4 linked regions of the Anolis sagrei genome follow. The protein of the gene in region 3 purifies or fractionates together with the protein of the main gene of each other region. This does not show direct contact. Links are inferred from orthologs where the notes say so. Each region holds a gene or a part of one and is shown on either strand. Other genes may lie near its edges.

Region 1 (7,021 bases), about 85 Mb from region 3:
ATGTATGTCTAATTGTAGTGTATAATTGTAATTGTTTGTATTGGCATTGAATTTTTGCCATTATTTATGTCTAAACCGCTTTGAGTCCCCCTCGGAATGAGAAAAGCGGTATACAAATACTGAAAATAAATAAATAATAAATTAAGTACTAATTAATTAAGAGTAACACAATTTTATTTATTTATTTAATTAATTTACTGGGTTTTTATACCGTCTTTCTCAGCCAAGGGCAAGTCAAGACGGTTCACAATCGGCAGCAACTCGATACCATAATAACAGGATATACAGTTAAAAACAATTATTTAAAAAGTTATAAAACAGTTCAACATTAAAAATATAAAAACCATAATATTTATAAAAATAAGTCCTCAACATCTCCTTACTGAAATCGTGATCCAATTGCATCATCAGACATTCCATGATACATTTTCATCTAATCATGCTCCAGTAGTAAAAGCCTGCTCGAACAGCCAGGTCTTAACCATTTTGCAGAATATTAGAAGGGAGCTGATCTTATATCTCTGGGGAGGACGTTCCATAGCCGAGGGGCTACCACTGAGAAGGTCATGTCTCTTGTCTCCGCCAAACACGTCTGTGATAAAGGCAGGATCAAGAGCAGGGCCTCCCCAGATGATCTTAAAGTCAACGTGCTTCAAACACATCTAAACCTCAAACCAAACATTTGCAGGTGTTTTACAGATCATATCATTAAACAATTCCTGTAGAAAATGGGACCTGTGGATTTCTCAAAGGTCTGTTATGTTTAGAGATTATTGTTAATGTTGCATTATTTTATTGTCCATGTTTTGTTTTATTTTAATTGCTTGTATTGTTATTATTGCTTGTATTGTTGTATTTGGGCTCGGCCTCATGTAAGCCGCACCAAGTCCCTTGGGGAGATGGTAGCGGGGTACAAATAAAGTGTTGTTATTATTATTTAGAGATGCTCTAAAGTTAAAAGTGAGAATAAGGTGACCAAATTTGCAGATAACACTCAAGATTCAATGCGGTCTCTATTTCCCCAAATCTATTTATATAATAAAAGTGTATGTATATGTATGTGGGTGGGTCTGTATGTTTGTGGCAAACTTCCAATTGGCTCCCACTTCCAGAGACCACTGCAATCCCACCAATGACAGATCTGGACCAAACTTGACACACAGAACTCTGGTGACCAACAGAACATACTGGAGGGATTTGGGGGGACTGACCCATCCAGGTGGGAGTTGTAGTTCACCTTGCATCCTGAAAGCACTCTGAATTGCACTGATGATGGATCTGGAACAAACTTGGCACACAGACCCAAAACAGCCAACTTTGAATACTGGCAAGGTTTGTGGCTTAATGACCTTGGAATCCGAGAATTATAGTTCACCCACATCCAGTGAAAACCATATCCAGATGGATGATGGATCTGGACCAAACTTGGCATGCAGACCCACCGTGGTCAATTCTGAACACTGGCGAGGGTTGGGGGTGATTGACCTATAATAATAAATAATAATAAAAATTTATTTATACCTTGCTACCATCTCCCCAAGGGACTCAGTGCGGCTTACATGAGGCCAAGCCATTACATCAATAAACAAAGGCAATAACAAAACAATCAATACAAAAACAGTTAATATAAATCTCATAAACAAAAAATAAACAACAACACACAAGCATTTAAAAACTTATGGCTGGGGCAAACGTAATAACTTAATTTTTAAAAAAATAATGCTATGATTTTTGGAACTGTAGTTCACCCATATCTTGATGCATTTTCTAAAAAAAGGAAAGACGGTCTTTTCTCCCAATAAATAGCGTTGCAAATGACCAAACTGATATTACCTCACAATCAAAAAAAAAAAAAAGCCTTTTTCCTGACTGCATTTCTGTATAAGAATTCACACGATCTCTTCATTCATCTGGTGAGGCCCTGCTCATGATCCCACCTGTTTCACAGGAGCGATTGGTGGGGAAGAGGGACGGGGCCTTCTCGGTGGTGGCCCCACGACTCTGGAACTCCCTCCCCAGGGACATCAGGCAGGCCCCAACATTGGCAGTCTTTAGAAGGAGCTTGAAAACGTGGATGTTCCAGTGTGCCTTCCCAGAATAAGGAATCCTAGCAATATGTCCTCAATGCACTTTATGAGAGATCCAGAACTGCCTGCACGTCCACCTTTCCAAAAACATTCCTCCTATCCCCTTTAAACTTCCCAGCTTTTAACTATTAAAACTTTCACATTTGGCCCTGCCTTATGTTTTAAAATGTGTTGTGTCATTATTGTATTGTTTTGCTTTTTTGAGTTATTTATCGTTTGCTGTTGTTGTTTTTTATGATGTTGTTGGGCTTGGCCTCTTGTAAGCCACACCGAGTCCTGCGGGAGATGGCAGCGGGGTATAAAAACAATAAATAATAATAATAATAAAATAATAACACGGGCATTGCTGAGTACCCAAACTAGCAGGAAATAAAGCTGCAAATGACAGAATCGTAAATTGGAAGAGACCCCAGGGGCCTTCTAATCCACCCTCATTCTGCCATGCAGGAGAAGCACAATCAAAGCAGCCCCGGCAGATGGCCATCCAGCCTGTTTCTATGCTTCCAAGACACTCAGACGCAGAGAGTTCCACTGCTGAACAGATATTACAGTCAAGAAGTTCTTCCTAATGCTGAGGAGGGACCCCCTTTTCTGTACTCCCCCCCCCTTGCAGCCTCAACTGGGTTTCTTTTGAGGAGGGTGAAGACTGAGGCTTATGAGGTGCCTCTGAAGGGTCTTGGCCTAGCGCGGCAAAGAGCCTGTTTTGGGCGCAGCCGTGTGAGAGAACCCTCCCCCGGGAGGAGAACGCCGTGGCGGGTTCGAGACTGCTTTCCCTACCTCGGTGTTGCGCCACACGCCCCCTTTGATCATAATCCGCGGCATCTTGGCGGCGAGAGAGGGCGAGAACGCAGCTGAGGCGACGGGCAAACGGCTGCGAGGCAAGAAGTCAGGCCTCAGGCTGCGCGCGCAGTCCCCTCCGTCACCGGAAGCCGACGGAAGAGAACGTTGCCGCGCGGGGAAGGGAGGGGGCGCCGTTTCCCCTGCGCATGCGCACTTGGATCTCCCTCCTTGTCCCCTTTCAAAGTGCTTTTGCTCGTCACAGAAGAAAGATTGTCTTTAATCCGGACTGTCCTTCTCGTGTTTCCCCTTCCACACAGCTCAATACAATCCCACATTTTCTGCTTTGAACAGTGGCAGTGTAGACTCAGCTAATCCAGTTCAAAGCAGATACTGTGGGATTTTATGCCTTGATATTCAGGGATATAGGGCAGTGTGGAAGGGCACCTTATGGTTAAGAATTTTTATTTATTTATCGTGTTAGGACCAGCCACTGTGTATCATGTTATGACCAGCCACCGCCAGAAGGGACAGAGTTTCATCTATGCTGATGATCGTGCCATTACTGCTCAAGCAGGGAGCTTTGAGATGGTTGAACAGAAGCTCTCTGAAGCTCTAGGTGCCCTTACCGCCTATTACAGGGAAAACCAGCTGATCCCTAACCCATCCAAAACACAGACATGTGCCTTTCATCTCAAGAACAGAGAAGCATCCCGAGCTCTGAAGATCACCTGGGAAGGAATCCCACTGGAGCATTGCAGCACACCCAAATACCTGGGAGTCACTCTGGACCGTGCTCTTACCTACAAGAAGCACTGCCTGGATATCAAGCAAAAAGTGGGCGCTAGAAACAATATCATACGAACGCTGACTGGCACAACCTGGGGATCACAACCAGATACAGTGAAGACATCTGCCCTTGTGCTATGCTACTCTGCTGCTGAGTATGCATGCCCAGTGTGGAACACATCTCACCACATTAAAACAGTGGATGTGGCTCTTAATGAGACATGCCGACATGCCGCATTATCGCGGCATTATCACAACTTAAATCTAGACATAGTTTTCTAAGATCTACAGAGACACTCGCTGGAACACCTCAGCAAGCGAGAGCTCGAAAGTGGCAGGCTCAAACCCAGAACCTCAACCAATGGATGTTACCAAATGAGAGACTCCCCCCCCCCCTGGGCACACAGAGGACTGGGTGACTTGGAAGGCGCTGAACAGACTGCGCTCTGGCACCACGAGATGCAGAGCCAACCTCAAGAAATGGGGCCACAAAATGGAATCCTCGACATGCGAGTGTGGAGAAGAGCAAATCACTGACCACCTGCTGCAATGCAACCTGAGCCCTGCTACAAGCACAATGGAGGAGCTTTTTGCAGCAACACCAGAGGCACTCCAAGTGGCCAGATACTGGTCAAAGGACATTTAATCAACTATCAAACTCGCAAATTTTGTATTTTGTCTGTTTGTTTGTTTGTTTTGTTCTGTTAGAAATGTAATACAATTGACTGGTTACCCTGACACGACAAATAAATAAATCGTGTTAGGAGCAGACCAAACAGCTGGATTGCATTTTTTAACAAACAGACAAACAAACAAAACACAAAGTTTGCAAACTTGATAGTTGATTAAATGTCCTTTGACCAGTATCTGGCCACTTGGAGTTCCTCTGGTGTTGCTGCAAGAAGGTCCTCCATGGTGCATGTAGCAGGGCTCAGGATGCATTGCAGCAGGTGGTCTGTGGTTTGCTCCTCTCCACACTCGCATGTCGTGGATTCCACTTTGTAGCCCCATTTCTTGAGGTTGGCTCTGCATCCCGTGGTGCCAGAGCGCAGTCTGTTCAGTGCCTTCCAAGTCGCCCAGGGGGGGAGTCTCTCATTTGGTATCAGCCACTGATTGAGGTTCTGGGTTTGAGCCTGCCACTTTTGGACTCCCGCTTGCTGAGGTGTTCCAGCAAGTGTGTCTGTAGATCTTAGAAAACTGTTTCTTGATTTAAGTCATTGACGTGCTGGCTGATATGCAAACGGGATGAGCTGGAGATGTCACTGCCTTGGTCCTTTCACTATTGTTTGCTACTTCCTGGCGGATGTCAGGATGTCAGGTGGTAAACAGTGTAATTTCTCCAGTGGTGTAGGGTTAAGATGCCACACTGCCACATCCCACACAAAGCAACTCACTCCCAAATGTGATGCTCCTCATGCCCTTTGGAGACCTGAAGTAATATTAAGAGTTTGGAAATATTAAACACAAGCCGTCCCCTGCCCCGCATTGCTGTGGCCTAGTCTGGTGATCTGGAAAATAAAGTAATGAGAAAGTGTTGGTTTCTAATATCTAATTTCTTTATGCTTGTGGGTAAACAGTATTTCTTGCTGTTTCTTTGTCAGTGTTGATGTGGAGATTGTCTGGTTTGCCTACTCTGGAATATGCAACATATCATTGTCCTTCTTTAGGGGTTCCTTTTAAATCTATGATACTATATCTGTGTGTGTGTGTGTGTGTGAATCATATCTATCTATCAATATCTATGGCTGGGTGGCACTTTGATTACGTTTTCTTGCCCTGGTGAAGGGAGTTGGACTGGATGGCCTTAAGTATTTTCTGTTGGTCATGGGGGTTCTGTGTAGGAAGTTTGCCCTAATTCTGTCATTGGTGGGGTTGAGAATGCTCTTTGATTGTAGGTGAACTATAAATCCCAGCAGCTACAACTCCCAAATGGCAAGGTTTATTTTCCCCAAACTCCATCTGCGTTCATATTTGGGCATATGGAATATTCATGCCAAGTTTGGTCCAGACCCATCATTGCTTGAGTCCACCGTTCTCTCTGGATGTTGGTGAACAACATCTCGCAAAGTCAAGGTCAGTGCCCACCAAACCCTTCTAGGGTTTTCTGTTGGTCATGGGAGTCCTGTGTGCCACGTTGGGTTAAATTCCATCATTGGTGGAGTTCAGAATGCTCTTTGATTGTAAGTGAACTATAAATCCCAGTAGCGACAACTCCCAAATGGCAATGTTAATTTCCCCCAAATTCCATCTGTGTTCATATTTGGGCATATGGAATATTCATGCCAAGTTTGGTCCAGATCCATCATTGTTTCAGTCCACAGTGCGCTCTGGATATTGGTGAACTACAACTCCCAAACTCAAGGTCAATGCCCACCAAACCCTTCTAGTGTTTTGTGTTGATCATGGGAGTCCTATGTACTATGTTCGGTTCAATTCCATCATTGGTGGAGTTCAGCATGCTCTTTGATTGTAGGTGAACTATAATTCCCAGCAACTACAACTCCCAAATGATAAAATCAATTTTTTGAGTGAAGGACATACATTGGGTTGTTAGGTGTCTTGTGTCCAAATTTGGTGCCAATTCCCCCAGTGGTTTTTGAGTTATGTTAATCCCACAAACGGACATTACATTTTTATTTATATAGATGAAGTCATCCTTTGAAAACTTCCCTAAGGGCTCTATATCCCAGAACATCAAGGCAGAAAATCCCACTTTATCCAAGTGTGAACTCAGATATCCCAATTTCAAAGCAGATATTGTGGAGTTTTCTGCTTTAATATTCTGGGATAAAGAGCTGTGTGGAAGTGAAGGGACATAGATGCAGGGACACTCCAAATGCACAAGCTTATGAGTCCACTCATTGGCCCAATGTAGCCATAAGTTGGATTCTTACTACAAAAGCTTTATTGCGGGCCTAGCAATATCGACAAAGAAGCATACAGGAATGCAATCAAAGGGTTTGTCGCAATTCCATTGGGACTGCAGGGTTTTTATCATTTTTGGCACGTACATTCTCATTGGTTCCCAAAGACAAATAATTTCATTGGTCTAAGATAGCTCGATGGTTCCTCATTGGTGGTTTATGATTTTGATTGACATAATAGCACACGTGGGATCCTAACAATGCCACAACTATAGAAGAACTATAGTCCATTGTTCTCTGACCATGACTGTCTTAATGAATCAATTTATCTGTTAGTCGGTTGCCAACATGACTCCAGAGCTACTGGGAAACTTGGGAGTTCTAACTAGCCACCAGCTAGTTGGAACGGATGTACTGTTATCCTTGAATAGTAACTTCTTCTCTGGAGCACTGATTTCTCAATCAGCATTTTTTGTAAACATAGGCATACTGCAGAAATAGGGC
Region 2 (7,698 bases), on a different chromosome or scaffold from region 3:
CTCCTACCTCATCCAGGATTTTATCATTTTATCTTGTGCATTTGGCCCGCCCATTGTGTTTGATTTTCCATTATGTTATTTGGCTTCATTTATTTTATTGTGCTACTGTATGTATTTTATTCTGATGTAATTTTTGTTGTTTTGTATTTTATTTTGCTGTATTGTATCTTTGGGCTTGGCCTCATGTCAGCCGCCCCGGGTCCCTTCCGGGGAGATGGTGGCAGGGTATAAATAATGTATTATTATTATTATTATTAGAAGCACAACAAGATGAGTCCACAACAAACAAGCTCACTCTGCTGGCTGTTGTATAGAATCACAAGTCGAACACTCCGCAAGTGTCTAGGACTGTGTGATGTATCGGCGAATAATGTGTGCAGATCCCAGTATGGTGGTCTTATGCAGCTGTTGGTAATATTATTATTATTATTAGCTCCTATTATGATTATTAGCTCCTCCCTTACATATATACCTTTTTCCACTCTTATCTCATCCAGTGTTTTATCATTTTATGTCTTACATTTGGCCCGCCTATTGTGTTTGATTTTTCATCTTCTTATTTTGCACTGTTTTATTTTACTCTTATGTTTTACTTATTTTATTGTGATGATATTTTTGTTTTGTATTCATTTTGCTGTTATGTATTATCGGGCTTGGCCTCATGGAAGCTGCCCCAAGTCCCCTTTGGGGGAGATGGTGGCGGGGTATAAATAAAATTTACTATTATTATTATTATTATTATTATTATTATTTTAAGCTATATAAATAAAAATGTAATGTTAGTTTGTGGGATTAACATAACTCAGAAACCACTGGACGACTTGACACAAAATTTTGACAAAATATACCTAACAGTCCAACGAGTGTTCATCACCCCTAAAAACACCCCCTTCCCAGTAGAATGGACTTAAACCCCCCAAAATACACCATATATACATACAATCCTATACGCATACACACATACATACACACACGTGTATATTTGTGTGTGTGTATATATATATATATATATATATATACACCCAAGCACACACAAATATACACACACATACATATACATACACACACATATATATATACATATACACATGTATGCACATACATACACGCATAAATACACACAATTATGCATATAGACAAGCACACACATATACACAGTATACATATACACATATAAACACACAAATATATACACATAGATACACATCTACATATGCACACACGCACACACATATATATACACTAGCCATCCCCTGCCAGGCGTTGCTGTAGCCCAGTCTGTGTATATGTGTGTGTATATGTGTATAAATGTGGTTTTGTGCATGCGCTGGTATGCATTTTCTTTAATTTTTAGCATTTTGAGTCTATTCCCCTGTGTTTTTCAGTGTTTTTATGAGTGATGGTCACTTGTTGGCCTGAGAGGTGTTTTGTGTCCAAATTTGGTGTCAATTCGTCCAGTGGTTTTTGAGTTATGTTAATCCCATAAATGAACATTGCATTTTTATTTATATAGATAGTGCAATGAAACATGTCCTCCTCCTCGTCCTCTTATTTAGGGAGGGGGGCTGCTGTGACGTCGCTAGGGAGTTCCACAACCGAGGGGCCACCACTGAGAAGGCCCTGCCTCTCCTCCCTGCCTTTTTTCTGCTCCTTCTCCTCCTCGATCTCTTCAATAGGGAGGGGGCTGCTATGACGTCGCTAGGGAGGGAGTTCCACAACCGAGGAGCCAACACAAAGAAGGCCCTGCCTCTCCTCCCTGCCTTTTCCCCGCTCCTTCTCCTCCTCGTCCTCTTAATTAGGGAGGGGGCTGCTGTGACGTCGCTAGGGAGGGAGTTCCACAACCGAGGAGCCAACACAAAGAAGGCCCTGCCTCTCCTCCCTGCCTTTTCCCCGCTCTTTCTCCTCCTCGAGTTCCACAACCGAGGGGCCACCACTGAGAAGGCCCTGCCTCTCCTCCCTGCCTTTTTCCCGCTCCTCCTTCTCCTCGTCCTCTTAATTAGGGAGGGGGCTGCTGTGACGTCGCTAGGAAGGGGAGTTCCACAACTGAGGGGCCACCACAGAGAAGGCCCTGCCTCTTCTCCCTGCATTTTTCCCGCTCCTTCTCCTCCTCCTTTTTCCTGAAGGCTAATTAGGGAGGGGGGCCTGCTGTGACGTTGCTAGGAAGGGGAGTTCCACAACCGAGGGGCCACCACTGAGAAGGCCCTACCTTTCCTCCCTTCCTTTTTCCCGCTCCTTCTCCTCCTCGTCCTCTTAATTTGGGAGGGGCCTTCTGTGACGTCGCTAGGGAGGGAGTTACACAACCGAGGAGCCAACACAAAGAAGGCCCTGCCTCTCCTCCCTGCCTTTTCCCCGCTCCATCTCCTCCTCGTCCTCTTAATTAGGGAGGGGGCTGCTGTGACGTCGCTAGGGAGGGGAGTTCCACAACCAAGGGGCCACCACAGAGAAGGCCCTGCCTCTCCTCCCTGCCTTTTTCCTGCTCCTTCTCCTCCTCTTAATTAGGGAGGGGGGCTGCTGTGATGTCGCTAGGGAGGGGAGTTCCACAAGCGAGGGGCCACCACTGACAAGGTCCTGCCTCTCCTCGCTGCCTTTTTCCCGCTCCTTCTCCTCTTTACCTGGCCGTGCTGCTCCCTCACGCGGCCCCACTGATTCCCGGGGCCCTCCATGGCCTCCTCCTCCTCCTCCTTCTCCCTCTGAAGAGGAGGGAGGCCTGTCTCTGGGGCTCCTTTGGGCCCTTTTTCCCGCAGTTGTCCTCGGCTTCTCTCCACTCCAAGGGGCTCCTCTTCTGTCTCTGTCTCCTCTTCAGCAAGGCGCCTGAGTCCTATAGAAGTGTTTGTGGAGGGCCAAGCGCCGGCTCCGGAGCTTCATGGAGGGCGCCGAGGGGGCCCAGCCGAGAGCCGCCGCCGGTGGAAGACGCATCTCACACTCGCATCCCGAGCCAGGCCTCGCCGACGCCGCGCTCAGGAAATGCCGAGGCTTCTCTTCGTCCTTCTCCTCCTAGGCCCAGCCAGGCGCCGCGCTGCCTTCTGGGAGGAAGAGCGGGGAGACAGGCACGCCCCCTTCTTCCCCGCCTCCTCCTCCTCCTTATTCTGCCTACAACCCCCATGAGCCTCAGCCGCGTCGTTCCAGCACTAGGGCTTCTGGGAGATGAAGTCCAAAACACAAGGACGCCATTTTGGCGCCTCCTCAGGCCTCAAAAGGCCTCCAACTCCCACAATTCCTACCAGTTGAAAGGAAATATTACAGCAGGCCTTCCTTTCAAACGGGTGTTTTGGACTCAACTCATAGAACCCTAGAGTTGGAAGAGACCTCAGGGAAGAGGCCATCCAGTCCAACCCCATTCTGCCAAGAAGAAGGAAAATTACATTCAAATCGCCCCTGACAGATGGCCATCCAACCTCTGCTTAACAGCCTCCAAAGAAGGAGCCTCCACCACACTCCCCATTTGGCCAAGAAGCAGGAAATCGCATTCAAATCCCCCCTGACAGATGGCCATCCAGCCTCTGCTTAACAGCCTCCAAAGAAGGAGCCTCCACCACACTCTGAGGCAGAGAGTTCCACTTCTGAACAGCTCTCGCAGTCAGTTAGAATCATAGAATTGGAAGACACCTGGTGGGCCATCCAGTTCAACCCCATTCTGCCAAGAAGAAGGAAAATCGCATTCAAATCCCCCCTGACAGATGGCCATTCAGCCTCTGCTTAACAGCTCCAAAGAAGGCTCCTCCACCACACTGAGGCAGAGAGTTCCACTGCTGAACAGCTCTCACAGTCAGTTAGAATCATAGAATTGGAAGAGACTTCGTGGGCGATCAAGTCCAACCTCATTTGGCCAAGAAGCAGGAAAATCGCATTCAAACCACACCCGACAGATGGCCATCTAGCCTCTGTTTAAAAGCCTCCAAAAAAGGAGCCTCCACCACACTCCGGGGCAGAGAGTTCCACTGTTGAACAGCTCTCACAGTCAGGAAGTTCTTCCTCATGTTCAGATGGAATCTCCTTTCTTGTAGTTTGAAGCCATTGCTCCAGTTGTAAAAGACCTCGTGAGCCATCCAGTCCAACCCCATTCTGCCAAGAAGCAGGAAACTCTCATTCAAAGCACCCCTGACAGATGGCCATCCAGCCTCTGCTTAAAAGCCTCCAAAGAAGGAGCTTCCACCACACTCCGGGGCAGAGAGTTCCACTGCTGAACAGCTCTAACAGTCAGGAAGTTCTTCCTCATGTTCAGATGGAATCTCCTTTCTTGTAGTTGGAAGCCATTGCTCCAGTTGGAAAAGACCTCGTGGGCCATCCAGTCCAACCCCATTTGGCCAAGAAGCAGGAAAATCGCATTCAAAGCACCCCCGACAGATGGCCGTCCAGCCTCTGTTTAAAAGCCTCCAAAGAAGGAGCCGCCACCACACTCCAGGACGGAGAGTTCCACAGCTGAACAGCTCTCACAGTCCAGAAGTTAGAATCCTAGAGTTGGAAGGGACCTCGTGAGCCATCCAGTCCAACCCCATTCTGCCAAGAAGGAGGGAAATTGCATTCAAACCACCCCCGACAGATGGCCATCCAGCCTCTGTTTCAAAGCCTCCAAAGAAGGAGCCTCCACCACACTCCGGGGCAGAGTTCCACTGCTGAACAGCTATCACAGTCAGGAAGTTACCCATTGAAATGAAATATTAAAGCAGGCCTTCCTTTAAAGCAGGGGTGGGCAAATTTGGCTCTTCTCTCCAGATGTTTTGGACTTCAACTCATAGAATCCTAGAGTTGGAAGACATTTCGTGGGCCATCCAGTCCAACCCCATTCAGCCAAGAATCAGGAAAATCGCATTCAAAGCATCCCCGACAGATGGCCAACGATAGAATTGGGCCAAATTTCCCACACAGAACCCCCATGTCTTGAAGGGACTTGCTGGTGCGAGCCTGCCTTCCAGCCTCACGTGCTCTCCCTCGCCTACACATGTTTACTATGGTGCTATGTGCCGAGCACACCTGCTCTCTTCTCCCTGCTCAGAGTTTCAGAAACAGCCCTCCCCTTGGCTGAGAGGCCAGCTGATGGGAGGATTCACGGTCTGTTTCCAAAAAGGAAGAGAAGGGCAAGTGGAGAGATCTTCAGCCTCCTCTGCCAAAGGGGTTCCTAAGACCATCAGAAGTATATGTTTTCTGATGGCCTTTGGCTACCCCTCTGAAACCCCCTTGTGACCTCCAGGTTGAGAAATACTGCTCTAATTCATGGTGCAGAGAACTAAAATTGAGGTGGTTTCAAAGGGGAGGCGGAAAATCCCAGGATCTCCCCGTCTCTGGAAGTACAAATGCCTCTTTCATAACACCCCAAATTTGCAGCCTGAATTGTAATAGCAAAGCATTGAGAGTTATTATGCCAGGAGCCTTGTGTCCTGTAAACTTCTTTCTAAAATATATACAAGATCAGTCGTCATTATATAACTTTAGGTGAAAGCAACTAGAAAGTGCACTTTGAAATCAACATTTCCTATGGCTTCCCAAAACCTCAAATCTAGTCGGAATTTAATGTTGATTTTCCTCAAGTGCTTGCGGTCCTTCAGTTGAGGAACGGGAATAACCCCAGTGAAATCAGACATGTTATATTCATCTACACATTCATCCTTCTATCAAGTTTGGCATCTTTTTCATAATGGATTATGAGTCGTGGGAGTGGAACGGAGGTACGTCTTGTATCAGATTTCCCAGCCTTGTTTACTCCCATTAACCTGCAGGCTCTCTCATTATTTCTACGTTTATTTAACAGATTTTGTAAAACAAAAATGGCTTTTTGTGGGCTAACAATCACATGTTCTGATTTATTTATTTTTTATTTGATTGGGCTTGATTTATGTCATTTCTTTCTCCCAAAACTGAGACACAAAAAATACAAATGTAAAGAAAAACACAGAATGTAATAATACTGAATACAACCTTCCCTCCTTCCCTTTTATTCTTTCCTTCTCTCCTTTCTTCCTTCTCTTCCCTTCCTTTCCCTCCCTTTTCTTTTCCTTCCCCTTTCTCCCCTTTCTTCCTTTTCTACCTATTCCTGGACTGCAACTCCCAGCAGTCCTCCTGATCCATCTACCTACCTACCTACTTACCTACCTACCTACTTATCTCTATCTAATCCAGCGTTTCTCAACCTGGGGGTCAGGACCCTTGGGTGGGTCGCGAGGGGGCGTCAGAGGGGTCGCCAAAGACCACCAGGAAAACACAGTATTTTCTGTTGGTCATGGGAGTTCTCTGTGGGAAGTTTGGCCCAATTCTGTCGTTGGTGGGGTTCAGAACGCTCTTTGATTGTAGGTGAACTATAAATCCCAGCAATGACAACTCCCAAATGTCAAGATCTATTTTCCACAAACTCCACCAGGGTTCACATTTGGGCATATTGAGTATTTGTGCCAAGTTTGGTCCAGATCCATCATTGTTTGAGTCTCCAGTGCTCTCTGGGTGTAGGTGAACTACAACTCCAAAACACAAGGTCAACGTCCACCAAACCCTTCCAGTATTTTCTGTTGGTCATGGGAGTTCTGTGTGCCAAGTTTGGTTCAATGCCATTGTTGGTAGAATTCAGAATGCTCTTTGATTGTAGATGAACTATAAATTCCAGCAACTACAACTCTCAAATAACAAAACCAATCCCTCCCCAACCCCACCAGCATTCAAATTTGGGCATATTGGGTATTTGTGCCAAATTTGGTCTAGTGAATAAAATACATCCTGCATATGTGATATTTACATTACGATTCATAACAGTAGCAAAATCACATTTATGAAGTAGCAACAAAAATAATTTTATGGCTGGGGGTCACCACAACATGAGGAACTATATTAAAGGGTCATGGCATTAGGAAGGTTGAGAACCTTTCCTATCTATCTGGAGGATTGCTGGGAGTTGCAGTCCAGGAATAGGAAATTGGAAATATGCAAGGATTGGGATGCTCTCAAAGAAATCCAAGAAGCAAGCTTACATCTAGGAAGCAGTGCATTTGGATCATCCTCCTCTCCTAAAGGGCCTGGTCTAGGTGATACTGGGAGCTGTAGTATGGAAGAGAGTGTGGATATACTATTGTGTGTTTTGTTTGCCAAGGGAGTTGTTTTTGCACATGCACTGTAGCATCTTTTTGCTTTTTTGGCTCTTTAAGTCCCTTCTGCTGTGTTTTTCAGTGTTTTTATGAGCAATGCTCACTCATTGGCCTCACTCATTCATCCAGTGGTTTTTGAGTTATGTTAATCCTACAAACTAACTGTATTTTTATTTATATAGATTACACTAGTTAAAAACAACATTACAATGGGTGTTCTGGAACAGCTGTTCCAGGAGCTCCAATTTTATTTGCTTTGAATTAAATGTTTGTTTGCAATCCCAGGCTTGGGATTTTGCAGCAGGGTGGCTTCCTGTTATAGTTTGCAGTCATAGGGCAAGCCCCCTGTCCATCTTCATTTAGCTTTGGTTCCGCCCCTTTTTCTGGATTTTTGGGAAGAGAGAGGAACCATTTTAGTCAGTCCACACAGAGAAGCCTTTCACACAGGACATAAAACCAAGAGCTCCTGTAGAAAGCTTAGTCTTCTACGGCTTGGCCGGGGAGATATACAGCCTACAGCTTGGCCGGGGTTATACAGCCCCACAGCTTGGCCGAGGATCATACAGCCTTACAGCTCCTCTGCTGAGGGACTTCAGCCAGCCATCACAGCAACCTGAACTCCTTCTTTTCT
Region 3 (7,112 bases):
GCAGGAAAAGGTATTCCACCTAAATAAACATCAGGAAGAGCTTCCTGGCGGTAATAGTGGAATATGCTGCAACCTGAGGGTGTGGCGGAGTTTCCTTCTCTAGGGGTTTTTCAGCATTGGGTGGATGGCCATCTGTCAGGAGTGTTTTGATTGTGTTTTTTTTTCCTGCAGGCAGAAGAAGCATGAACTGGATGGCTCAGAAAGCACCATAAAATAAATTAAGTCAATCAATTAATTAATTAATTAACTTTAGATGTTAACTAGTTACCATGTTAACTATATTTTTTGAAGCAACTTCCTATTATTAATGGCAATTTTAGTTAAGTTTAAAGAACACCTGAATATTATAGGCAGCTACTCTATGGCACAGAAGGCTATCTTACTTTCTTTTCATAGAATCATAGAGTTGGAAGAAACCTCATGGGCCACCCAGTCCAACCCCCTGCCAAGAAGCAGGAAAATTGCATTCAAAACACCCCCGACAGATGGCCATCCACCCTCTGTTTAAAAGCCTCCGAAAATGGAGCCTTCACCACACTCTGCGGCAGAGAGTTCCACTGCTGAACGGCTCTCACAGTCAGGAAGTTCTTCCTAATGTTCAGGTGGAATCTCCTTTCCTGTAGTTTGAAGCCATTGTTCCGCGTCCTAGTCTCCAAGGAAGCAGAAAACAAGCTTGCTCCCTCCTCCCTATGACTTCGCCTCACAAATTTATCCATGGCTCTCATCATATCTCCTATCAGGCTTCTCTTCTGCAAGCTAAACATGCCCAGCTCTTTAAGCCGCTCTTCATAGGGTTTGTTCTCCAGACCCTTGATCACTTTAGTCGCCCTCCTCTCTTCCATTCTTCCTGTGAAGCCCTCCTGGAGTGCAAACTTGTCCGGGGGGGGGGGCGCTTTGGCTAGGGGCAGCCCCCTTAAAGGGGCCCCTGGCTGGAGGACAGAGGGAGTGTACCCGCCCACTTCCGGCTCGCCTTAAGGCTTGGGGACCCTGGGGATCTCACCAGGCCTTTGGGCTTCTCTGCCAAAGAGGGCGACTGCCGCCTCGCCAAACTGCGACTCCTTAACACTCCAAAGCATTGGTTAAGCTGGGGCCACACCGCATGCACTCCTCTGTGTAGATGCACCCATTCCCATAGATGCGTAATACGCAGCAGCCCCTTCTTCCCCAGAGCCATGATGTTTCCCTAAGCGATGAAGAGGGCCGCCTCCACGCCCAAATCCCCCCAAACCGCCTCTGCTTTCTGTGCCTAAAGGTGGGAGTCTTAAAGGAAGCTTCACCCATACTCAAAACTCTCCTCGCCCTCCCCCCAAAATGGATGCATCGATCTACATTGTAGAATGAATCCAGTTTGATCCCACTTTTAACTGCAGTGGCTCTGGAATCCTAGGACTGGTCGTGCCGCGAGGCACTCCTTGGCAGAGGAAGCTGAGAAAGGCCTTTTGCAAGCGACGACTCCCAGAATTCCAAACCATTGCGCCATGGGCGGTTAAAGCGGGGTCAAACTGCGTTAACCCTGCAGTGCAGAGGCACAACAACAAGGAGAATGTCTGCCTCCGCCTCTCCCCCTTTTGGGGCACATTCAGGGGGCGGATGAAGCTGATAAATATGGCCTTTTCAAGCGAGGACTCCCAAGATTCCAAACCACTGAGCCCTGGTCGGCTAAAGCGGGATCAAATTGCGTTAACCCTGCAGTGTAGAGGCACCACAACAAGGGGAATGTCTGCCCCCGCCTCTCCACCTTTGGGGGCCCATTCAGGGGGCGGATGAAGCTGATAAATATGGCCTTTTCAAGCGAGAACTCCTAGGATTCCAAACCACTGAGCCCTGAGCGGTTAAAGCGAGGTCAAACTGCGTTAACCCTGCAGTGTAGAGGCACCACAACAAGGGGAATGTGTGCCCCCCCCTCCACCTTTTGGGGCCCATTCAGGGGGCGGATGAAGCTGATAAATATGGCCTTTTCCAAGCGAGGACTCCCAGGATTCCAAACCACTGAGCCTTGAGCGGTTAAAGGGGGGTCAAACTGCATTAACCCTGCAGTATAGACACACCGCAACAAAGGGGAACGTCTGTCTCCCTTTCTCCTTCTTTTGGAAGAGGATGAGGCGCCCTTTTCGTTTCCCTTTGGCCTGGAAAACTCCCCCAATCCGAGGCCCCAAATACACTTATCACACTTGAGAATGAATCCACTTAAAATCCGGTTTCTGGCTCCTGCAGAATTCTAGAGTTTGTAGTTTAGTGAGGCTGTTAAAAGCTCCTCCCTAAACTACAAACCCCAGAATTCTGCAGGAAGCAGAAACCGGGTTCAATGTGGATTCATTCTCTAGTGTGATGAGGTCTTGAGTGGCGTTTCAAACCGGTATGGAAGAAAGTGTAGAGACACGACTCCATAGGAGGAAAATCCTGGAACCAGTTTGACTGCCCGCCATGGGGAAGAAGACAGGAAAGAAGGAAGGAAGGAAGGCACAACCCAATGGAAAGAAGAGACCGCGCACCAAAGTATGGGCTTCCTACAAGAGAGAGAGAGAGAGAGAGAGAGACAGACAGACAGACAGACCCAAAGGGACTGGTGTGTGTGTGTGTGCGCGCGCAGGAAGGGCTTCCTTTCTCTCGCGGGTGGGAGCTTGTTCCCAGGCCGCCGCAGTTGGAAAGCGAGCTTGGATCCGCATTAAATATCCAGTGGAGACGGGGCTTTGGGGGAGGGACAAGGCGGCTGCTCAGTGCTCACCTTCCAAGAGGCGCCCGATGATGGAGTCCAGGTTGAGCTTCTCGCCGTCCGACATGGCGGGAGAGGAGCGTCTCGGGGCTGAGACTGAGCCTTCCTTCCTGCCTTCTTTCTTTCCTTCCTTGCTGCTGTTTCCTGGGAAAGAGGGAGCGGCCGGGGAAAAGGCAAGGGCAAAGCTTTCCGTCCGCGCCTCCTTCTCGCCGAAGAGCCTCCGCAGCCGAAGCGAGGGAAGAAGGAAGAGAAGGAAGAGAAGGAGGGAGGAAGTGGAAAGGAGTGACGCTGCTGCTCTTGCTCCTGCTGCTCCTACTCTGCCAACCACCTCCTCCTACTGGCTGGAGGGAGCAAGGCTTTCCTGCGATTGCGCCAGCATTCTCTCTCTCCGCTTCCTCCCAACACAAGGAAACAGAGACACAGGCAAACCTGGGCCCTCCAGGTGTTTTGGAATTCAACTCCCAGCCTTCCTCACAGCCTCAGGCCCTTTCCTTAAGCGGCTGGGGGGGGGGGGGGGGAAGGGCCTGAGGCTGTGAGGAAGGCTGGGAGTTGAAGTCCAAAACACCTGGAGGGCCAAAATTTACCTGCGCCTGATCTACACGGTGTAAAGAAATATAGGACCAGGCTGAGCACCACACCTGGCCCTGGGCCAGAAGGTTGCCAGCCCCATTTTGGAATGTGTTTTCAACCTGGATAGAGATGATTCACTCTGTGTGTCATTCAGAAACCATGTGGTTGTTGCAGGGCGCCTTTGAGTCAGCTGATGGGGACCCTAAGGCAAACCCATCATAGGAGTCATAGGAGTTGTGGTTTTGCAAGGTCTTCTGCTGTCTCTGCCTCACCAAACTCCCACCATTCCATAGCATGGCGGCATGGCGGTTAAAGTGGTGCCAAACTGCGTTCATTCTACAGAGTAGATAAGTTGTTCTCAACCTTCCTAATGCCCTGGCCCCTCAATACACTTCCTGATGTTGTGGTGACCCTCAACCATAACATTATTTTTATTGCGAATAATAATAATAATAATAATAATAATAATAATTGTTGTTCATTCGTTCAGTCGTCTCCGACTCTTCGTGACCTCATGGACCAGCCCACGCCAGAGCTCCCTGTCGGCCGTCACCACCCCCAGCTCCTTCAAGGTCAGTCCAGTCACTTCAAGGATGCCATCCATCCATCTTGCCCTTGGTCGGCCCCTCTTTCTTTTGCCTTCCACTTTCCCCAGCATCATTGTCTTCTCTAGGCTTTGCTGTCTCCTCATGATAATAATAATAAACATTTATACCCCGCCACCATCTCCCCAAAGGGGACTCGGAGAGGCTTACATGGGACCCAGCCCGAACAAAAATTACAATATAACAATACAAATTGCAATCAAATAAACAACATAACAGTAAAATATAAAACATCAAAGCATATAAAACAATATACACAAAACATAGGAACTAAGCATAATGACAGACAAACAAAGGGCGGGTCGCATGTACATAAAATGATTTAAAAACTCCGGGTGAGATAAGGGGGCAGAACTAATTGTAAGGGTGAACTCAGAGAGAGATAGGAAATTAAGCCAACATTCGTAGGGGGGGGGGGGGGGGACTCCTGAGATAAGAACATTGGAGGAGCGCTAGCATAAAATTATATGGCTACTCTTCAAAAGCGCAACGGCAGAGCCAGATCTTAAGACTTTTTTTAAAGTTTCCAAGGTAGGGGCTTTCCTAATCTCTCCGGGCAGTGAATTCCAGAGCCACAGAGGAGAAGGCTCTCTCCCTTGTACCCACAAGGCGAGTCTGAGAGACTGGCAAGGGCAAAAGGGGGCCTTGCCCAAGCATGAAGCCGGGGGGGGGGGGGGGCTTGAGGGGCTTCAGCCCCCCCCCCCCCCGAAATTCTCATGGTGGTTCGCAAAAAGGTGCATTATTTAAACTGTTATGTTTATTCATATCATTATCTGATCATCATGCTCAATATATCCCATATACATGGGGGTATTGGGGTAACGATACAAAAGGTTTGCTAGGGTAGACCCTCTTTCACTCAGATTCAGCCCCGCCCCCCGAAACAAACTCAGCTCCCCCCCCCCCCCCGAATCGAAATCCTGGATACGGGCCTGGCCTTGCCCGAAGATCAAAGCGTACATAATACACTTCCTGATGTTGTGTTGACCCTCAACCATAACATTATTTTCATTGCTACTTCATAACTAATTTTGCTACTGTTATGAATCTATATAAATAAAAATGTAATGTTTGTTTGTGGGATTAACAGAACTCAAAAACCACTGCACGAATTGACACCACATTTGGACACAAGACACCTAACAACCCAATGTAGGTCCTTCACCCAAAAAAATTTGATTTTGTCATTTGGGCGTTGTAGTTGCTGGGGTTTATAGTAGCATCTTGAGACTGAGAGAAAAAGATGTTATTATCAGCTTTCATAGCCCAAATATATGTAGTAGATGTAGCTTTTTAAGGTTATGCTTCCATTGTCTTTCAGTCTCAAAGGTGCTAAGATATCTGTTTGCAAAGGGATATCTGGCTGATTCAGATGGGGTTTTTGATTGTTTCATGAAGTCTCCTTTTTCTGTCGTTGATTGCAGTTTTGTTGTTGTATTTGTTCTATTTACCAAGAAAATATAGTCCAAAATATAGTCCAAAACAGAAGGAAGGAAGAAGGGCAGAGGGCTAGATAGAAATCTAATGAGTAAATAATACCTACACCAAGGTCGTGCTCCAGAAGGATGATACAGAGTGCAGCTTGTGCCGATGGGAAGAGATGGGAAGAGATGACACCATCTACCTGTTGATTCTTCCCCAGCACCTGTGAACTCAGAGACAACATCTGGTGGGGTCTCCTTGTGTGCAACCCCTTCTGGAAAGCATTGTGGGTAGTTATCCTGTGTTTTCTTTTTGGGGAGTTGTTTTCTGCTCTCTTCCACTGTGTCATGCTCCCCACCCCCTTTGCTTTCTTTACTACTACCGTCCCTTGCATCAGGAAATGGTTGCGGGAGGAAATGGCTTGCAGAGCGTGTGGGGAACTCAGTCACAGCAGCAGCAACAAGGGGCATAGTCATGGGTGCAAGGTATTGCTCGGCTCAGAGGTGATGCCCAGGCCTCAGCAGGTGGCATGAAATAAAGGACCTGTCAGCAGTAGGGTCTACAAGTAAGATTTGAAGGGGAATATGTCGGACCCCTCTCTTTCAGCAGAGCTTCCTGAGGACAATGTAAACCAAGCTTTGGCTGGACTACCAGATGCTTTTGATTTCTCCCTGCGGGACGATGCCAGCTCCCTGGGCTCTGACTCTGAGCTGAATGGGATGCCTCCTTATCGCCAGACAGATCGCTTTGGCTTTATTGGGGGCAGCAGCCTCCAAAATGGGTAAGAGAGAAACTTGGGGAAATTAATATTTTGGACTACATTTCCCAGATTTGGAAAGTTGTGGTCCAAGCTCTGGGGGCCTCTATTGCTCCCCCCCCCCCACCACCACCACTCTCAGTTTCCATGGGCTTCTATTGCAAAGACTATTGGGATGGGAGGAGTGTGTGGCTATGATGTGCACAAGACATAGCACTTGAGACGAAAAAGCTAGTGAATATTCTCCCTGCTACAGGTTGATTGTATAGTTCAGACATGGGCAAACTTCACCCCTCCAGGTGTTTTGGATTTCAACTCCTACAATTCGTAACAGCCTACCAGCCATTAGGAATTATAGAAGTTGAACTCCAAAACACCTGGAGGGCCAAAGTTTGTCCATGCCTGGTATAGTTGCATCCATCTTCTGTTTTTGGAACTGACAATGACTTAAGAAAGAGTTAGTTCTTCCATTAGAGTTCTTCAATGACTGTCCCTAATGAGATTTCATCCAAACAATTTAGACTATAACATCCATAAACTCCAGCCAGCAAGTTGGTGGTCAGTGATAATAAGATTGGGACCCAAAACAATTGCAGGATATATGGTAGACCTGACCTTGTGCTTAACCAAAGCCACGTTTCTAATAGAGATGCCAGCTTTATAACGGTTTTTATAATGATAACGTTAGGAAAGAGGGGTGCTAAAAAGAAGTGACACAACCCATAGACTTCATATATTAAGCTCCAGGAATTGCTTTAGGACTGTGTTAACTTTACATCTTTGTTTTTTAAATGTTAAGTTGGATTTGACTGGCAATTCTACAAATCAGAACCCTTCAAGACACTTTGTCATTATTAGCTCTGCACAAGTCCTGCAAACTCAGGACTTATTTAACGAAGGGTGCATATACACTGCAGAATGAATGCAATTTGATGCCACTTTAATAGCCATGGCTCAATGCTACGGATTCCTGGCATTCGTTGTTTGGTGAGGGACCAGCATTATTTGGCAGAGAAGGTTAAAGACCTTCTCAAACTACAGTTCC
Region 4 (7,278 bases), on a different chromosome or scaffold from region 3:
AAATACAACAATAAATAAACTCATAAAACAAGCAATAAACATTAAAACAATAGCAATAAACATTAGACATTAACACCATGACACATTTAAAAACTAAGGCCGGGCCAAATGTAATGATTAAAATTTTAAAATTCTGAACATGACAGGTGAGATGGATTGGTTTTTGGAGATAGGTGCGGTGTGCAGACAATCTTAAATCTCTAGTAAAGTGCATTTGGGACATGATGCTATTCTGGGAAGGCACACTGGAACAACCACATCTTCAAGCTCTTCCTAAAGACTGCCAATGTTGGGGCTTGTCTGATATCCTTAGGGAGAGAGTTCCAGAGTCGGGGGGCCACCACGGGGAAGGCCCTGTCCCTCGTCCCCACCAATTGCGCTTGCGACGCAGGTGGGATTGTGAGCAGGGCCTCACCAGATGATCGGAGAGATCGTGTGGGTTCATAAACGGAGATGTGGTCACGCAGGTAGGCGGGTCCCAAACCATTTAGGGCTTTGTAGGTAAGCACCTGCACCTTGAATTGGGTCCGGAAAATGAACGGCAGCCAGCCAATGGAGCTCCTTAAACAGGAGGGTTGACCTCTCTCTGTAAGGAGCACCAGTTAACAACCTGGCCGCAGCCCGTTGGACCAGTTGAAATTTCCGGGCGGTTTTCAAGGGCAGCCCCACGTAGAGCGCATTACAGTAATCCAATCTGGAGGGACTCTTGATTTTTTTCCCATCTCATAGACTTAGCATGGGGATTTGGTTAACCAGTTAACATTCATGAGTAAACCAGGTTTTTTTTAACCTGAAATTTCAAGCAAAAAGTGGATGCTAGAAACAATATCATACGAAAGCTGACTGGCACAACCTGGGGATCACAACCAGATACAGTGAAGACATGTGCCCTTGCGCTGTGCTACTCTGCTGCTGAGTACGCATGCCCAGTGTGGAACACATCTCACCACACTAAAACAGTGGATGTGGCTCTTAATGAGACATGTCGCATTATCACGGGGTGTCTGCGCCCTACACCACTGGAGAAATTACATAGCTTAGCCAGTATTGCACCACCTGACATCTGCCGGGAAGTAGCAGCCAATAGTGAAAGGACCAAGGCAGAGACATCTCCAGCTTATCCCTTGTTTGGGTATCAGCCAGCACGCCAACGACTTAAATCTAGACATAGTTTTCTAAGATCTACAGAGACACTCGCTGGAACACCTCAGCAAGCGCGAGTCCAAAAGTGGCAGGCCCAAACCCAGCACCTCAATCCATGGGTGATACCCAATGAGAGACTCCCTCCTGGGCACACAGAAGACTGGGCGACTTGGAAGGCGCTGAACAGACTGCGCTCTGGCACCACGAGATGCAGCGCCAACCTTCAGAAATGGGGCTACAAAGTGGAATCCTCGGCATGCGAGTGTGGAGAAGAGCAAACCACAGACCACCTGCTGCAATGCAACCTGAGCCCTGCTACATGCACAATGGAGGACCTTCTTGCAGCAACACTGGAAGCACTCCAAGTGGCCAGATACTGGTCAAAGGACATTTAACCAACTACCAAACTCACAAGATGTGTATTTTTCTGTCTGTTTGCTTTGTTCTGTTGTTGTTGTTCATTCGTTCAGTCGTCTCCGACTCTTCGTGACCTCATGGACCAGCCCACGCCAGAGCTCCCTGTCGGCCGTCACCACCCCCAGCTCCTTCAAGGTCAGTCCAGTCACTTCAAGGATGCCGTCCATCCATCTTGCCCTTGGTCGGCCCCTCTTCCTTTTGCCTTCCACTTTCCCTAGCATAATTGTCTTCTCCAGGCTTTGCTGTCTCCTCATGATGTGGCCAAAGTACTTCAACTTTGTCTCTAGTACCCTTCCTTCCAGTGAGCAGCCGGGCTTTATTTCCTGGAGGATGGACTGGTTGGATCTTCTCGCAGTCCAAGGCACTCTCAGCACTTTCCTCCAACACCACAGCTCAAAAGCATTGATCTTCCTTTGCTCAGCCTTCCCTAAGGTCCAGCTCTCACATCTGTAGGTGACTACAGGGAATACCATGGCTTTGACCAGGCGGATCTTTGTTGCCAGTCTGATGTCTCTACTCTTCACTATTTTATCGAGACTGGACATTGCTCTCCTCCCAAGAAGTTCTGTTCTGTTAGAAATGTAATATATAATGGACTGTAATGCTACCCCTCTATTCTGCTTTGGTTAGACCACATCTGGAATATTGTGTCCAATTCTGGGCACCACAATTCAAGAGAGATATTGACAAGCTGGAATGTGTCCAGAGGAGGGCGACTAAAATGATCAAGGGTCTAGAGAACAAGCCCTATGAGGAGCGGCTTAGGGAACTGGGCATGTTTAGCCTGAAGAAGAGAAGGCTGAGAGGAGATATGATAACCATGTATAAATATGTGAGAGGAAGCCACAGGGAGGAGGGAGCAAGCTTGTTTTCTGCTTCCTTGGAGACTAGGACGCGGAACAATGGCTTCAAACTACAAGAGAGGAGATTCCATCTGAACATGAGGAAGAACTTCCTGACTGTGAGAGGGCTTGACAAATGCAAGGCTGGGGTAAAAATTTCTGGAAGAAACATTAACAACTTTAGATATGCAGATGATACCACTTTGATGGCCGAAAGCGAGGAGGAGCTGGGGAGCCTTCTAATCAAGGTGAAAGAAGAAAGCGCAAAAACTGGGTTGCAGTTAAACATAAAAAAACAAAGATTATGGCAACAAGAATGATTGACAACTGGGAAATTGACGGGGGAAATGTAGAGGCAGTGACAGACTTTGTAGTTCTAGGAGCAAAGATTACTGCAGATGCAGACTGTAGCCAGAAAATCAGGAGACGCTTACTTCTTGGGAGGAGAGCAATGTCCAATCTCGATATGATAGTGAAAAGTAGAGACATCACACTGGCAACCAAGATCCGCATAGTTAAAGCAATGGTATTCCCCATAGTAACCTATGGATGTGAGAGCTGGACCACAGGGAAGGCTGAGCGAAGGAAGATAGATGCTTTTGAACTCTGGTGCTGGAGGAAAGTTCTGAGAGTGCCTTGGACAGTGAGAAGATCCAACCAGTCCATACTTCAGGAAATAAAGCCCAACCCAAACTACAAGAGAGGAGATTCCATCTGAACATTAGGAAGAACTTCCTGACTGTGAGAGCCGTTCAGCAGTGGAACTCTCTGCCCCGGAGTGTGGTGGAGGCTCCTTCTTTGGAAGCTTTTAAGCAGAGGCTGGATGGCCATCTTTCAGGGGTGATTTGAATGCAATATTCCTGCTTCTTGGCAGGGGGTTGGACTGGATGGCCCATGAGGTCTCTTCCAACTCTTTGATTCTATGACTGGTTGCTCTGACACGACAAATAAATACCTGAAATTTGGGGGGGGGGGGGGGGTTGAATCCCTAACACCTCCCCCCCCCCTCCCCCAGTTACAGGCCTGACTGTTAAGAACCAGCATATGACATCTGCGTCCTCAGAGCCAACTGCATTCAGGGCTACCAGGCCTAGCCAAGCAGAGGCCTGCCTTGTCCCTCATGGGCGGGGCGGGGCTGGGCGGGGCCGGGCTTTGCCAGGAGCCAAGGCCTCAGCCAGTCCCCATTTCAGTTCAACCAGGGTAACTCAAAGGGCCGGCCCCTTTGCCACTGGGTTCAGGCCACTTGACCCAATGGGCCCTGAGATAACAATAAACCAGGGGCAGCCCATCCTCACGGGCCGGGCTCCCACTGCTTCCCCTCCGCAGGAAGGCGGGCGGGCGCGCGAGGCGCCCCTCCCTGCCTCCCTCAGAGGCGAGGCGCGCGACCCGCGGGGGGGGGGGGAGGGGCAGCCTGGAGGCACCTGCGCCTCTGAGGAGGGCTCCCCTCACGCCGCGGAGCATTGGCAACGAGGAGCCAATCAGAAGTGGCGCTTCTCTTCACCACCCCCCTCCCTCCCTGCCTCCGCCCGGAACCATGCCCGCATCAAGCTGACTCCTTCTTTTCCCTTCTCCGCTGAGCCTGGCTGGCGACATGGGGCGGAGGAGGGCGGCTCTTCCTGGGTCCAAGCCCCGCCTCCTTTGCCTCAGCTCTTCTTCGGCCCTGTCCTTCCATCGTGGGAAACGTCGGGTCGCCCCATTGTTCCTTCCTAGAGACAATTTAGGGACAGAGCCTTCCTATTGGATGCCGGAAGGGAAGGGGTGGACGGTTCGGGTTTTTTTCCCCTCCTATGATTGGCTGCAAACGCCGTGCCGGGGGGGGGGGGGGAAGGGGGGCGGGCCCTGCGCAGAAGAAACCTTTCTGATTGGGCCGCCGATCGCACTCGGGTTCGGCCAGGCTCGGGTGTTCGGCTTGGCGTTCACGGAGGGCGCTTAGCGAGATTGCGTAAGCCTTGGCTTGAAAGAGAGAGAGAGCGCGAGCGAGGGCCGCAGCGCTCCCTGAAGGCCTGGCGGAAGGCTGCTCTATCCTCGCGCCACCTTGCGCCTCCTTTTCGCGAGGGAGCGCGCGCAAGACCGCAACGGCCCCTCTGCTTCCACCACCACCACCACGCCGCAGCGGACAAAGGAACTCGGGCGGAGAGGCGGGGCCGCGCGCGGGCAGGCGGGAGGGAGAGAGGGAGGAGCCCCTGACGCCGCCCACAGAAGCAGCAGCAGGAGAGAGAGAGAGAGAGAGAGGGAGTGAGGGGAAGAGGAGGAGGGGAAGAGAGGGAGGGAAAGAGGAGGAGGAGGAGGAGACTCGCGCCCCGCCGCCATGGCCGGCCCCGCCGCTCTCGTTGTCCTCCAGCCGCACTGCAGCGCCCTCCGCCTCAGCCGCCCCTCCTCGCCCGCCGCGGGGACGCCATGAGCCGCCGCCGCAGCAGCAACAGCAGCAGCACCGCCAGCACCAGGAAGAAAGGGAGCCAGGCCTGAGGAGGGAGGAGCCGCCCGCTGCCAGGCCGCCGCCCCGCGCCCTTTCGCCTCCCCAGCCGCTTCCTGCTCTCTCTCTCTCTCTCCTTCCTTCCTTCCCTTCCTCCCACCACAGCTCCCCCCCGCCCTTTAATTGAGGCGCTAGTGCTCTTCCGCCGGGAGAAATAGTCCCTGCCTCCACGCTGAGGGAAGGAAGAAGGGCCCACTCTCTCTCATTTTCTCTCTCTCTTCCTCCTGTGACTGGCTGCCGGGGAAGGAAGGCCTTCTCGACGCCGCTTCCGCTCTTTCCAAGGAGGAGGATGGCGGGCCCCCGGTGAGGCCTGAGAGAGAGAACGAGGCGTGCCCCTTTCCTCCCTTCCATCCCTTCCTTCCTCTTCGAGAGCGGGGGAAGGGCGGGCCCCGGCTCTGCATGCCCTGCCCGCCTTCCTCGCTCGCCACCTGAGGGCCCGGCAAGGAGCGCAGCAGCAGGAAGAGGAGGAGGAAGGGCAGGAGGCCGGGAGCGGAGGGAAGGCAGCCACCATGTCGGGCCGGCCCAGGACCACCTCCTTCGCCGAGAGCTGCAAGCCCGTGCAGCAGCCCTCCGCCTTCGGCAGCATGAAAGTCAGCCGTGAGTACACACAGGCCTCGGAAGGGGGAGGCCTTCCTTCCTTCCTTCCTTCCTTGCCTCTCCCTCGCCCCCCTCCCCTCTTTGATTCACAATCAGCCCCTTGAGGACGTGGCCGTCAGATGCCGGCCTGCCTGCCTTTGGCTCTCTCTCTTTCTCTGGCCTGCCATTTCCCCGCCCGTTCACGGCCCCATTTCAGAAGCAGTGAGTCAGGGAAATCCTTCAGTGCTTCTCAACCTTGGGTCCCCAGATGTTTTTGCCCTCCAACTCCCAGAAATCCCAGCCAGTTGTTAGGATTTCAAGGAATTGTAGGCCAAAAACATCTGGGGACCCCAGGTTGATAACCTCTAATGCAGTGGTTCTCAACCTTGGGTCCCCAGATTTGTTTGGTCTCCAACTCCCAGAAATCCCAGCCAGTCTACCAGCTGTTAGGATTTCTGGGAGCTGAAGGCCAAAAACATCTGGGGACCCCAAGTTGAGAACCACTAATGCGTGGTTCTCAACCTGGGGTCCCCAAATGTGTTTGGCCTACAATTCCCAGTAATCCCAGCCAGTTTACCAGCTGTTAGGATTTCTGGGAATTGTAGGCCAAAAACATCTGGGGACCCCAGGTTGATAACCACTAATGCAGTGGTTCTCAACCTTGGGTCCCCAGATGTGTTTGGCCTACAATTCCCAGTAACCCCAGCCAGTTTACCAGCTGTTAGGATTTCTGGGAATTGTAGGCCAAAAACATCTGGGGACCCCAGGTTGAGAACCACTGCACTAATGGATGGTGGCCTCAGCTTGACGGAATCAGTCGCCTTTCTGAGGCGCGGCCTGTGGGCTCATTTCATTCCAGAGAGAGAGAGAGGTACCTGCCTGCTTACCGAGATGTGGAAAATTACTGACTTAGTTATGCATGCTGTTGAGGAGGTTTTAATGGGCTATCCCATTATGCATACATTGGGAGATGGGCGGTACAGAGAAAGTCATTTATTATAATTTATAATAATAATAATAATACTTTTCCTAACTCCAACAGACCTCACTACCTCTGAGGATGCTTGCCATAGATGCAGGCGAAACGTCAGGAGAAAATGCCTCTAGAACATGGCCATATAGCCCGAAAAACCCACAAGAACCTAATAATAATAATAATGTATCTGTGTTGTTTCTATTGGCCTAAGGCGGTCCCTATAGGAAAAGGCGGTCCCCTATAGGAAAAATAATCTGTACCCAAAGTGTGGTCGATTGTACAAATCTTTACATTTTGGTTAAAAACCTTCTGTGAAACTGACCTCACTATCTCTGAGGATGCTTGCCATAGATGCAGGCGAAACGTCAGGAGAGAATGCCTCTAGAACATGGCCATATAGCCCGAAAAAACCTACAACAACCCTGTCACAGAGATATTTGCTTAAAATCCCCTCCAATGGAGTCACAGCTCGATATAGGTTTCTTTTAAGGATTGTTGCTGCCAGTTGGAAACGTGGCAGCATTTCAACCCATTTATTTCTCAGATATGTTCAGCCTGAATTAAAGATTGGATCGGACTGGATGGCAAGAAGCCTGCAGAATGTGTCATCCTCCAAGCTAAGCATTACCTGTCAGCCAGGTGTCAGTCTCCTCCCCATTTCTTTGAAGTACCAAGTGTCTCTGCCACAAATTCAGTATTATTTATTTATTTCGAGCATTTCTACCCCATCCTTCTCAACCCCCGAAGGGGGACTCAGAACGGCTTACATTTGGCACAATTTGGCATTTTGACATTTGGCACATTTGGCATCCATATCCAAAGCACTATTTATGCCTACTGTCCAAAAGCCT

What was found.
Region 1: the proteins of PPP1CA (region 3) and CDC5L purify together in Homo sapiens (affinity purification with mass spectrometry; 3 studies listed by BioGRID and IntAct, with this or other methods). This does not show direct contact. The link is inferred for Anolis sagrei from reciprocal best matches to the Homo sapiens genes PPP1CA and CDC5L.
Region 2: the proteins of PPP1CA (region 3) and URI1 purify together in Homo sapiens (affinity purification with mass spectrometry; 7 studies listed by BioGRID and IntAct, counting the BioPlex papers as one, with this or other methods). This does not show direct contact. The link is inferred for Anolis sagrei from reciprocal best matches to the Homo sapiens genes PPP1CA and URI1.
Region 4: the proteins of PPP1CA (region 3) and GSK3B purify together in Homo sapiens (affinity purification with mass spectrometry; 4 studies listed by BioGRID and IntAct, with this or other methods). This does not show direct contact. The link is inferred for Anolis sagrei from reciprocal best matches to the Homo sapiens genes PPP1CA and GSK3B.

Annotation. Positions count from the first base shown.
Region 1 is NC_090021.1:147,843,177-147,850,197, reverse strand, and holds the start of CDC5L (cell division cycle 5-like protein), read right to left. Parts: upstream 3,010-7,021; 5' UTR 2,910-3,009; coding exon 2,865-2,909; intron 1-2,864.
Region 2 is NC_090028.1:40,036,998-40,044,695, reverse strand, and holds the start of URI1 (unconventional prefoldin RPB5 interactor 1), read right to left. Parts: upstream 3,021-7,698; 5' UTR 2,664-3,020; coding exon 2,613-2,663; intron 1-2,612. UniProt on the Homo sapiens protein: Involved in gene transcription regulation. Acts as a transcriptional repressor in concert with the corepressor UXT to regulate androgen receptor (AR) transcription.
Region 3 is NC_090021.1:232,682,546-232,689,657, reverse strand, and holds the start of PPP1CA (serine/threonine-protein phosphatase PP1-alpha catalytic subunit), read right to left. Parts: upstream 3,005-7,112; 5' UTR 2,781-3,004; coding exon 2,726-2,780; intron 1-2,725. UniProt on the Homo sapiens protein: Protein phosphatase that associates with over 200 regulatory proteins to form highly specific holoenzymes which dephosphorylate hundreds of biological targets.
Region 4 is NC_090022.1:165,868,108-165,875,385, forward strand, and holds the start of GSK3B (glycogen synthase kinase-3 beta), read left to right. Parts: upstream 1-4,268; 5' UTR 4,269-5,384; coding exon 5,385-5,472; intron 5,473-7,278. UniProt on the Homo sapiens protein: Constitutively active protein kinase that acts as a negative regulator in the hormonal control of glucose homeostasis, Wnt signaling and regulation of transcription factors and microtubules, by phosphorylating and inactivating glycogen synthase (GYS1 or GYS2), EIF2B, CTNNB1/beta-catenin, APC, AXIN1, DPYSL2/CRMP2, JUN, NFATC1/NFATC, MAPT/TAU and MACF1.